Struthio camelus: one gene and its partners. The protein of the gene in region 1 purifies or fractionates together with the protein of each later gene. This does not show direct contact. Links are inferred from orthologs where the notes say so. Each region holds a gene or a part of one and is shown in the gene's direction. Other genes may lie near its edges.

Region 1 (3,743 bases):
CCTTCCTCCCTGGGGGTCACCGTCGTCTTCCTCGGGGTCCCGTCCTTCCTCCTCGGGGTCCCGTCCTTCCTCCTCGGGGTTGGCCCTATAGGAGCCCCTGGAGACCCCCCCACTGGCCCTATACGACCCCCATAGGCCCCTTGCCCAGCGCCAGGCCCTATACAACCCCCCCAGCTCCCCCCACCGCTCCCTAGGTGGGGCCGGCCCCTATAGACCGCCGCGGGCTCCCTACCCCGTGCTGGACCCTATAGAGCTCCGTACGCGGCACCGGACCCTATAGGGGCCCCGTAGGCTCCCGGGGCTGTTTTTAGCCCTGACATTTGGGGGCGGCCAAATCCTGGGAGGGAAGGGGTGGGTGGGGGGTCTATATGGGGCAGATCTATAGGGGGAGTCTATAGGGGGCCCCGCCAACGCCATGGGGGGGCCGTCCCCCGCCCAGGGCGGCGTTTTACGCCCGAGAAAGGCGTTTTTGGGGGCTTTTTGTGCCCTTCCCGACGGCACCTGGCGCCCCTGGAGACCCCCCAGTGGGGGTCAAGCCTATAGGGGCCCGTGGAGAGGGCTGAACCCTATAGGGGCCCGTGGAGACCCCCCGGGGGGAGGCTGCATGTGGAGGCCGCTATAGGGCAGGAGCTCCTTATAGGGCACAGAGTCCCTATAGGGCAGGGGCTCCCTATAGGGCAGGCACCGCTATAGGGCAGGAGCTCCCTATGGGGCACAGACTCCCTATAGGGCAGGGCCCCTATAGGGCAGGGGCTCCCTATAGGGCACAGACTCCCTATAGGGCAGGAGCTCCCTATAGGGCACAGACTCCCTATAGGGCAGGGGTTCCATATAGGGCAGGGCCCCTATGGGGCAGGGGCTCCCTATATGGCACAGAGTCCCTATAGGGCAGGAGGTCCCTATAGGGCAGGGCCCCTATGGGGCAGGCACCGCTATAGGGCACAGGCTCCCTATGGGGCAGGCACTGCTATAGGGCACAGGCTCCCTATGGGGCAGGGGCTCCCTATGGGGCAGGGGTTCCCTATGGGGCAGGGGCTCCCTATAGGGTCTCCATGGGGGGGGCAGGGCTGGCCGTAGGGTCCCCGCGGAGCTGGGGGGCGGTTCCTGGGGACCCCCTATAGGCCCCTTATAGCCCCTCCCCATAGGCTCCCTATAGGGCCCCCTACAGGCCCCCTATAGGCTGCTTGGGAGGGGGCGGGACCAGGCGCCTCCCCCCTCTCTCCCCCCCCCCGCCGCCGCCGCGAATGGTCTCGCCCCGCCTGCCCGGCCCCGCCCCTCCCTTCCCTCGGCGCGTTCCATCCCGCAGGGAGGGAGGGGGGGGGAGGGAGAAGGCGGAGGCGGTGCCGACCGGGGGGGGGGGGGAACCCGCTTGGCTCCCTCCTCCCCCTCCCCCCGAGCCCGCGCGTGGCGGTGGTACGGTCCGGCGGAAGCTATAAAAAGGCGGCGGGCGGCGGGCGGGGGCGCAGTGCGGGGCAGGGCGGGCGCGGGTGCGCCACGTGTGAGGGGAGGGGGGAGGAAAGGGGGGGAGCAAAGAAAGGGCGCCGGAGCAGCGCGACACCGCCATGGCCTCCAACGGTGAGGGGGGCCGCCGGTACCGGGAAGGGGGGGGATGTCCCTAGCTCGGCGCTCGCCGCCCCGTTTCCTCTTAATTTTACCTACGGGAGCGATAAGCGAGATAGAGATTTTTTTTTTTTAATCGTTATGGGGGGGGGGTGTTGCCCCCCCCACACGCTTTGCGAACCGCGCGGCCCCCAGGGTGGGATTGGGTTTTTTTTTAACGTTTAATCTCCTCATGCGTTGGCGGTGCGCGGGTTTTTTTGCAGCTTGTTGTGGGTGTTTTTTTTTTTTGGGGGGGGGTGATATAACGGGTAGTTCCCCCCCCCCCCCACCGCTTACGGAGCGGCACGGTGGTGCCGCCGGGGGTGTTGCTGGCGGCCCGGATGCGGGAAGCGGTGGCGGTGGGGAGGGAAAAATGAGCATAAGTGACTGAAAGAAGAGGGAAAAGGAAGGTTCTGGAAGGGAGGCGAAGCCTTTGAAGGCGGGGATGGGGGGGGAGGGAGGAGGGAGCCCTTTGGTTCCCGCGGCTGCCGGCCGCCATTTTGTGTGGCGCGGGGGCGGGGCGCCGCTTTTCCAACTGCGCCACTCGCGGGCGCCATTTTGTGCGTGGTGGCGGCGGGAGGGTGGGGGCGACGGCGCATGCGCGGCGGCGGCGGGAGAGGGGGGGACGCGCGGCGGAGCGCGCATGCGCGGCGGGAGAGGGGGCGCGACGCGGCGGCGCATGCGCGGCGGCGGGAGAGGGGGACGCGCGGCGGAGCGCGCATGCGCGGCGGCGGCGGGAGAGGGGGGCGCGACGCGGCGGCGCATGCGCGGCGGCGGGAGGGGGAGCGCGCATGCGCGGCGGTGGCTGCCGCAGTCCGACATCCGGGGACTTAAAAGTGTGTGTGTGTGGGGGGGGGGGGATAATATGAAGGTGCCCGAGGCGGGTAAATACCCGCCGCGGCCTGGGTGAATATTGCTGGGCTTATTGATGGGGGGGGGAATCGCTTCCTCTTGCGGTGTGGGGGAGGGGTAACGGTCCGCTCCCGACAAAGCGGAGAGAAATCAGCGCTTGTTGTCTTTGTTGGTGGGGAAACATCGTTTCTGGCGCTTTCGGGGGGGGGAAGACGGTGGTTTGGGGGCGTTGGTGGAGCTGGGCGCGCTTCGTTTGGTGTTTGGCGCCGTAACCGTAGCGCCCGTAACAAGTGAGGGGCTGGGCTGGGGAATAAACGCCACCTTCCAGGTTAGAGCGTGTCGGGGTGGGCAAACGGACCCCCCCCCCACCCCCAGGCTGGGTGCTTGTGCCCCCGGCTGCGCCCTGGGGGAGAGGGGTCGGCCTTCGTCCCCGCCGCTGGGGTTCTTCTCGGGGCTCCCAGCGTGCGGCTGAAGCCCTGGCTCGGGGGGAGGGTGGGAGCCGCCCCCCCCCCCGGCTCTGCTCGCGGCGGGTCCCCTTCCGGCCTTCCCCAGGGCCGGAGAGGCCTCAGACGCTCCCTGCCCGCCTCCCGAAACGCGGCGATCCCGGCGGGCGGGCGGGCGACGCGTCGCGCGAGCCGTGAGGAAACGGCGGCGACGCGATGGCGTGTCCCTTCCTCTTTCCTCTCGCAGATTACAGCCAGACGGCAACCCAGAGGTACGTCGCAGCTCGGGGCGTTGCGCGCGGGGCGGGGGAACGCGGCCGGGCCGCGGCCGGGCCGCGGCTCCTCCGGCGGCGTTTGCCGCCCCCGCGCTGGGCCTGACGGCGCCTTTCTCCCCTCCCTCGCTGGGCCGCCAGCTACGGGGCGTACCCCACCCCGCCGGGGCAGGGCTACTCGCAGCAGAGCAGCCAGCCCTACGGGCAGCAGAGCTACAGCGGTTACAGCCAGTCCACCGACACCTCGGGCTACGGGCAGAACAGCTACAGCTCCTCCTACGGCCAGACCCAAAGCAGTGAGTGTGGCCGGCGCCTGCCGGCCTTGCGGGGACGGGGCCCCTCCGCCGTGCCCGCAGGAGCTTTCCTTCCTCCTCCTCCTCCTCCTCTCTCCCAGCTGGCTACAGCACCCAGTCGACGCCGCAGGCCTACGGCACGAGCAGCGGCTACGGCGGCAGCCAGTCGTCGCAGACCTCCTACGGGCAGCCCTCCTCCTACCCCAGCTACTCGCAGCCGCCGGCGGCCAGCTCCTCCACCGGCAGGTAGCCGCCGGGCCGCGGGGGTTTCGGGGCGGGGGGCG
Region 2 (3,743 bases), on another chromosome or scaffold:
ACATCAACTTAATATTAAGATTTACATTTTGCATGTTCCATTTGTAAACATTCAGTGTATCACCCCATGGAATAACATTATAGTTAGCAAAAGTGTGAATTCTTTAGCAGTTGACTTTCTGGAGACGTTGCTATGAGGCTCCTGCAGTTATGGAGGGGGGTCACCAGGGCCGAGTATTAAGCCATTTTTGGATGCATTACACCAGTTTCTTCCAGCCTCCTAGAAATAAGGAGAAAGCAAACATCATGGCTGCTGTCGCTCCTGTTACGGGTTCAGCGCTGTGCGCGGCGCCAAGATCCCCTCCAGGCATCTGCGAGGAAAAAAAGGCGCGAAGAAACCAAACATAACCGGCCCCGCGCAGTCCTGCTGGAGCCGCCGCAGAGGCCGCGGGCACCCGCGCTTCCGCTATTGTCTCCTCAGCCCCGAAGCCGCCTTCCAGGGGGACAGCGGCCGCGTAGGCAAAAGGCCGTATTCTCCAAGCTCGACTACGCTGCAAAGTTAACGTAATCCGCCAGCCCTTCCAGCAAAACCTACGGAAGAATTTTACGCAAAACGGGCGGGCTCGTCCTCCCCTACGCCAGCCCGAGTTGCGCAACTTGCGTACGCAGTGCTCTTACGTAACGTACGGCTCGGCCTGGGTTTTCCCTACCGTCCAGAAGGGGTTGCAAGATCGACTCCTTACGTAGCAGACTTTGAGGAATAGGGAGAGTGTTACTCTCCCCCCTCCCCTCCTGACGCAGGGGCCCCGCTTAAGCACAGAACACTACGTAACTTTCGTAACCTGCCCGCTGTGCGGAACAGTGTTTCGCGAAGAGCGCTTAGGGCGTAGTTGGGTTCCGAGAATAGGTGCAGATATTTTCGAGGGCCGGAATTTGCGCAGCGCCGGGCCGCCCGTAACGTAAGTGAAGCGGGTTGGAGAGGCGGCAGCCATTTTGTGCCGGGAGCCCGGAGGAAGAAGACGCTGGTGTCTCCACACTTCACGGGCCCTGGAGCCTACCGAGAACCCCGCCGTCCCGTCCGCCGACGTTCAGCGGGTCTCTGACCCACTGACCACTTCTTCTCCTTTTGTATCCCTCCCAAGAAGCGAGGTGGCGCAAAGCGACTCCGCCGAGGCACAGCCGCCCCTGGCTGGACCCTCTCCCCGTACCCCTAGTCCCTCACCCTCCCCACGGCCAGCATTCCGCTGCCTTTCACCCACCCCCCCGGGTGCCATGAGAGGCTTCGGAGACCGGGGCCGCGACCGAGACCGCGGCGGGTAAGGGGAGGGGGGGAAGGGAGGGAAGGCTGGGCCTGGGGGAGGGGGCGCGGCGCGGTGGGGGGGGAGGTGGAGGGGGCCCCCTCCTTTGGCTTAGGAGCCAGGCGAGGGGGAGGCGGGCGGGAGGGAATCGTGGGGCAGTAAAGGGGGGGGAGGTTGATCGTGGCTGCGGTATTTGGGACAGTTTTTTTTCACCCTATATCTTTATTCCAGGGTGGGGTGGGAGCTGGAGACGTTATTCCTACCGGGGTTCTGGCAGCAAGGGGTGGTGGTTATTGTTTTAATTTTGCTTTTCCTTCCTTCACGTGTAACCATGTGCCTCACTTTCAATTTTAAGGTCCTCCTGCCCCCCCCCCCGCGTTATTATTAATTTTTTTTTTTCCTGCCACCTCCATTTTCCTTCATCGTACTCCCCCCTGGAAATAACGAAGGTCTTGGTGGCCCTGGAAAGGGTGGTTGGATACTCTGCCCTTCGGGTTGTCATTGCTCCTTCTGGACTTTTCAGAAAGATGGCAGTTGGTGAAAGATCTTTCTCAGTAGCACTCCCAGGCTTATCCGGAGAGGAAATAGAATTGAAAACTGCTACCATGCAGGGGAGTTGCATTCTCAGGAGCCTGATCTCAGTAAACATGGCCCTGGACCACACTTAAAAAGCATGACCAAGCTTACTTAGGTAGCAATCAAAGAGAAGTTGTCTCTGTGGCACTGCGAAGGCCTGGTATTTGATACTCTTGATACTACTATCTCAAGAAAGTTTGGTTTAGAAAAGGTTTATGCAGGTTTGATTTTTCTCTGAGGACGGTAGTAATAAATATAATGTGCTCTGGGTATCATTAGGGTAAGCATAACATAGGCTGGTATAGCAGTATATAAATGGCTTGAGACTTTGACTTTTTTTTTTTTTTTAAAGAATTAAGAAATCATAAGACTCCTATCCCAAGCTTTTCTAAAGAGAAAATTAAGAACTAAATTCGGGAGAGATTGTCCCTTTCTCTCCTTTAAATTACAAATAGTTTAGGCCTTCATTCTCAAGGATAATGATAAGCATATGTGGGTTTTGTTATTAATCGAAATCCAGTCTGCCATGTTAAGAATGAGTGTTTTTTTTTTTTTGTTTCCCTCCCACTGAGAGATCAGGAATATTTTGTTTATATGTTGAATTGTAACTTAATATTTAGCTCTCTCTGTGGAGAGAGATAGCTGTGTTCTTGCTTTATCTTGACACCCACTGTTTCATGTTCAGAAATTAAATTTAAAGATCGTTTTAGTTTCTTTACAGAGAGGAGAGTTCTGGTGTTTTTCCACTATGAGCTTTCCAGCTTAGTTTAACACAAGGACATTGGAGTAAACACTTTGGTGAGCCTGAGATTGTTCAGATCCCAGCTTTTTTTTAGGAGTTTAGTGACTGAATTTGAGTATGCAGATTTATATACAGTTACTTAAAGGAACACAGTTGAAAACATTGTCATGATACTTAATGTGCCTTAAAATTTGTGTAATCTGGTTTTGTGTAAAGAATTTGATTGTTGACAAATACTTCTCTTTTAAAACGGAGGTGTTGCATAAGTAAGTGCTTAAATGCTTATTTGTAAAGATTTTGTATGTTTTACATGAAAAATCTTATTCTTGGGCTATTACACTGGAAGTTTTGATGCGTCAGGGTTCACTTTGGTATGCCCATCTATTTAAGGTCTGGAAGTATTTGTAATGACTAGCAACCATCTTTTCATAAATACTTCTCTTAAATTTTGGGTGACCCAGCCTGGTAGTCAAGCTCCGTTTAGAAGTTTAACCTTCTCAGTGCTGGTTCATTTATAAGACAACTGAATACAAGCTTTCTATTTTCCTTCTGTCATGAGCAAGTTGTAGATGACTCTTTAGCATGGAAAGTTATGCTGTTGTGCTTTGGAATTGAATAAATTGATTTAGTTTATTTAGTTGATAAACGACGGCACAATAGTACCAGAGCAGATTGTTTTGGATCAGTCTAAATTTCCACTTAATTGAAATGAGAACTCTTGATAAACCAGTGAAATATCCCTAGATTTAAATCAGTTTAACTGGAATTGGAATATGATTATTACTTGTAATGAGATTGTGAAGTGTCAGTTACTTCCAGGTGAGTAGGTAAATTCTGTGAGAGGCTGCATTTCAGGAATGATGTAGGGCTCACTTCTTTCAGGTCAACATACAGTCTTACTGTGTATAAGAATGAAGAACTGAAACTATATGACTTTTATGCAAAATACATTGTATTCTTCTGGATAGCCAAAGAGCAAATATTTATAATACCCAGCTGTTTTACTGTCTGATCTTGCAGTCAATTCTTTGTAAACTTATTCACAGTTTGACTCTCCAGCTGACTTCAGTGAGACTATTCATTTTGTTAGAGTTACTTAGATTCATAAATATCTGACTTTTTTTTAACCTCAGATTAGCACAATCAGTAGCAGATATCGTCAGTAAAGATGAATGTTTCTGTAACTGA
Region 3 (3,743 bases), on another chromosome or scaffold:
GGGGCAGGCAGGGGAAGGCTCAGCTCCCACACAGGTGCTGCCAAGGCCCCAGGCAGGCAGGGGAAGGCTCAGCTCCCACACAGGCACTGCTGAGGCCTCATACCACAGCACACGGCTGCAGGGGCAGGTAGGCCAAGGACCCAACTCCCAAAGCAGGCTGTGCCCCGCTCACCACGCCCACCGAGGCCCAGGCACTTTGCGCTGCCCAAGGCACTGCCCCGCCGTCACTCTCGGGCCGCAGCCCGGGCCGGAGCCCCTCCGCCACCCCAGGGCCTACGACACGCCTCGCACCTCACGCCTATCTCCACAGAGACGCACAGCCACAGGGCGCATGCGCGCCAGCCGCTTTGTTCTCGAGCGGGCAGCCACTGCGCATGCGCAACACAGACCTTCCCCCCCCCCACACACACACACACATATACACACATACACGCAGGCGCTGTGAATCCCCTGCGGGATAAGTTTCTCGGCAGCTGGTGACTAATGTCACACCGCTGCATCTGCGCATGCGCAGTCAGGGCAGCGGGGCGGCCGTCGCTCCCCACGTGTCGCTTTCCGCTTTCGCGGGCCCGGCACTGCGCATGCGTCCCAAGAGCGCGCCTCGTTCCCGCGGGCGGCGGGCGGCGCACGCGCGGCCCAGGGGGCGGGCCGTGAGGAGCGCGGCGGGGCGGGGCGGGGTGGGGAGGGGGGTGGCGCGCGGCTGCGTGCCGGCGCAGGCGCAGAGGCGCGCGGGGTGGTCGCGCGGGAGCTGCGGCGGAGTGGGGGGGGGCGGGGAAGTGCGGGGGGGGGGAGTGAGAGAGAGGGAGAGGGAGGGAGGGAGAGAGCGGCAGAAGGGGGGGGCGGTCCTTCCGGCCCCTCACTTCCGGCCGTGGCGCCGCGGCGGACGGTGTGGCAGCGCCGCGCTCGGCCCGCTCCGCGCCCGCCGCCGCCCCCCGCCGCCCGCATGCAGCGCCGTGACGACCCCGCCGCCCGCCTGGGCCGGGGGCCGGGCCCCGGCGGCGCCCGGCAAGGGGCGCCCCCCCCGCGGCGGCCGCCCCGCGGAGGAGGAGGAGGAGGAGGTGGCGGCGGAGGAGGAGGAGGAGGAGGTGGGGGGGGCCGAGGCGCCGCCGCCACCGGGGCGCAGCCGCCGCCGCTCCTACCGCCCAGCGCCACAGCGGCCGCCTCGGCCGCCCAGGCCCCCGCCGCCGCCCCCACCCCGCTGCTGCCGGGGGCCGCCGTCAAGATGGAGCCCGAGAACAAATACCTGCCGGAGTTGATGGCCGAGAAGGACAGCCTCGACCCGTCCTTCACGCACGCCATGCAGCTCCTCACGGCAGGTACCGCGGCCGGGGGGGCGGCGGGCAGGGCGGGGGGGGGGGCCCGGCCGCCGCTGACCCCTCTTGGCCGCCCTGCCCGGGGCTGCGAGCGCCGAGGGCCCCCGGGGAGCGGCCCCGGGTGAGATGCGCCCCGCCTCCCTCGGTGGTGGGGGGGTTACCGAGATATTTCTATTATTTAATCTCTGTTTAGCGCCCTCCCCCTCCTCCGTGCTTAGCCTGGATTAAGCACAAACCTAGAACTTTCTTTTTGATAAGCAAGGTACGGTCGTGTTCCCCCTTTTCGTCCCTGGGGGAAGAGGGGACCCGAGAGAACGGTGAAGACTGGGGTTTTCCAGGTAGCGTCTGCTGGAGCCCCTGCGAGGCGTGATTTGTGATCTCTTTGCATTTCTACTCTGGAAATCCGTATTAGAGCTTGTTTCATGCTTTTGATGAGCCTAAATAGGGAATGGAAATGGCAGTCTTTGTTCTGTGCCCAGACTAGCCTTCTCCTTCCCCATCACCACTGTCCAATCGCCTGGCGGCTCTGATTTCTCCCTATCTCTCCAGTGCAGCTGCTGCACCCGCATTTGGTGGCTGTATCAAGTAGACTCAGCTGCCTCACGACACTGTAGTTAGCTTAAAAATTGGAACAAGTTAAGCAATTTCTGCCACTTACTGCTTAATGTGCATGGAGTGGAGAGCTGGGATGTGCTCAGCACAAGAAGGATGAACTCGGATTCGATTTACAGATGAGCAGAGTGCTTAGCTCTCTAGTTATTACCATTCTGTTTCTAAATGTTTTTTTTTAAACAGTCTTTAAAGTATGTAATGTGGCTGTAATCGTTGCAGTGCTAGAGACTTTATTAAGACTTGCTGTCTCCCATTGTACAAGTAACTGAGATATGTCAATGTCATGAGTGACTTGGCATCGCTCATGGGCATCTTGATCTCCATAAATCAGTTTTATAGTCTGATTTGCCACAATTTTTTTTTATTAATAAAACCCTTTAGCCAGCTGATGCTCAACAGCTCTGTGATAATGCCTTGCGGTGAAATGAAACCTAAGGAATTTGCTAATTCCTGCTCAAAGAACAGCGTTCTCATCCCATTTAGCAAAGCTTCATTCACTGAGTGCTGTCGCAAGGATTTATGAGTTTTTCATCAATTTAAAAATTGCTGATAGTAGAGCGCAGCTTTGTGAGACTTAGGATTGATCATTGGAAGAGCTCCAGATGCTTCTGCCTTGCTTTGGTTATTTGAAAATTCCTGTCCTTTGGGAGCATTCACTAGGCAGCCCAAACTTAGGGCGATCTAAGCAGGAGGCTCGTGAGAGAGAATCTGAAATAAAGCCACCGTTTTAGGAGCCTCTTTTTGCACAGATGACCAGCTGTTCCCCAACTGACCTGGATTGCTCAGAATTTCTCTACTGCTGTGGCACCCTTTGAGTATGTCGTGTTGAAGAGCCAGCTGAAAAATCTCACTTTGGAATTTAAGTCTGGGTCAAAGATTGTAATGCGTGTGTGCAGCGTGACTTCATCAAAATGATTTTTCAGACAGGCTTTCAAAACGACTGGTCACGGAACAGCAGCAGTATCCCTATCCCTATGCCAGCCTTTTCTCAAGAATGCAAGTTCATGCTGCATTCCGGAGGAACTCCTGCAGGAGTTCTGCACTGAAACTAAGACATCTTGTTTAAAAACAGTATTTTAAAGTAGTCCAAAATACTTGTGTGGTTCTAGTGCTGCTTAGCTTTTCTGAAAGAAATCAGCATTGTTTAGGAGCAAGATGAAGGGCAACGCAGTGACATAATCCTAATTCTTGAACAATGGGCTGTGTGATCAAAAGGGAGAAAAGTGGCTACCTTTTAGGGTTCTGTAGCACAGCACCCCGAATAGAAATCGAAAACTGGGGTTTCTTACCCTTTGGAATAGGATCCATGTCTCCTCACTTTTATGACTCGGGGTCTACATGGCCTTCCCTTTCCATAGGAACAAGAAAATCCCTTTCCCTCACTTTGATTTATGCCCTTCATCTGTTGCGGGGGCAGGGGGGATGCTGATGCTTTGAAAGGCGCAATTTTCTCTGCTTATGTGCATTGGGAGGATGGGAGACATCTACCGATGTAAGTGTTAGCCAGGCATGTTTTTTTCAAGTTCATGTGTTAATCTTAGCAAGCTCTCTTCATTTCATGGTGGAACTCTCCTTGAAAAGAGCAGGCCTCTTCACCTCTGAGCTTCCAGTGCTACAAATAAATGTGTAAGCCCCATCTCCGCTCCACTAATGGATCTCTACATTGCTAGCATCTAATTGGTCCTCATGTTAAATGCAGCCCTTTACCTCCCCAGACACGTAGAGTGGTGAGGAGGGATGGAGATGGATGGTGAGGGCTAAGTTCAGAGCAATAGGTAACTCGAGGTATTCGAGTAAACCCATGAAGGAAGGAAGCTC

The links.
Region 2: the proteins of FUS (region 1) and DDX17 purify together in Homo sapiens (affinity purification with mass spectrometry; 5 studies listed by BioGRID and IntAct, with this or other methods). This does not show direct contact. The link is inferred for Struthio camelus from reciprocal best matches to the Homo sapiens genes FUS and DDX17.
Region 3: the proteins of FUS (region 1) and KHDRBS1 purify together in Homo sapiens (affinity purification with mass spectrometry; 3 studies listed by BioGRID and IntAct, with this or other methods). This does not show direct contact. The link is inferred for Struthio camelus from reciprocal best matches to the Homo sapiens genes FUS and KHDRBS1.

What each region holds. Positions count from the first base shown.
Region 1 is NC_090973.1:351,581-355,323, reverse strand, and holds the start of FUS (RNA-binding protein FUS), read left to right. Parts: upstream 1-1,446; 5' UTR 1,447-1,562; coding exon 1,563-1,575; intron 1,576-3,141; coding exon 3,142-3,166; intron 3,167-3,307; coding exon 3,308-3,462; intron 3,463-3,560; coding exon 3,561-3,705; intron 3,706-3,743. UniProt on the Homo sapiens protein: DNA/RNA-binding protein that plays a role in various cellular processes such as transcription regulation, RNA splicing, RNA transport, DNA repair and damage response. Binds to ssRNA containing the consensus sequence 5'-AGGUAA-3'.
Region 2 is NC_090942.1:58,322,764-58,326,506, forward strand, and holds the start of DDX17 (probable ATP-dependent RNA helicase DDX17), read left to right. Parts: upstream 1-884; 5' UTR 885-1,211; coding exon 1,212-1,255; intron 1,256-3,743. UniProt on the Homo sapiens protein: As an RNA helicase, unwinds RNA and alters RNA structures through ATP binding and hydrolysis.
Region 3 is NC_090964.1:8,675,589-8,679,331, reverse strand, and holds the start of KHDRBS1 (KH domain-containing, RNA-binding, signal transduction-associated protein 1), read left to right. Parts: upstream 1-1,087; 5' UTR 1,088-1,222; coding exon 1,223-1,316; intron 1,317-3,743. UniProt on the Homo sapiens protein: Recruited and tyrosine phosphorylated by several receptor systems, for example the T-cell, leptin and insulin receptors. Once phosphorylated, functions as an adapter protein in signal transduction cascades by binding to SH2 and SH3 domain-containing proteins.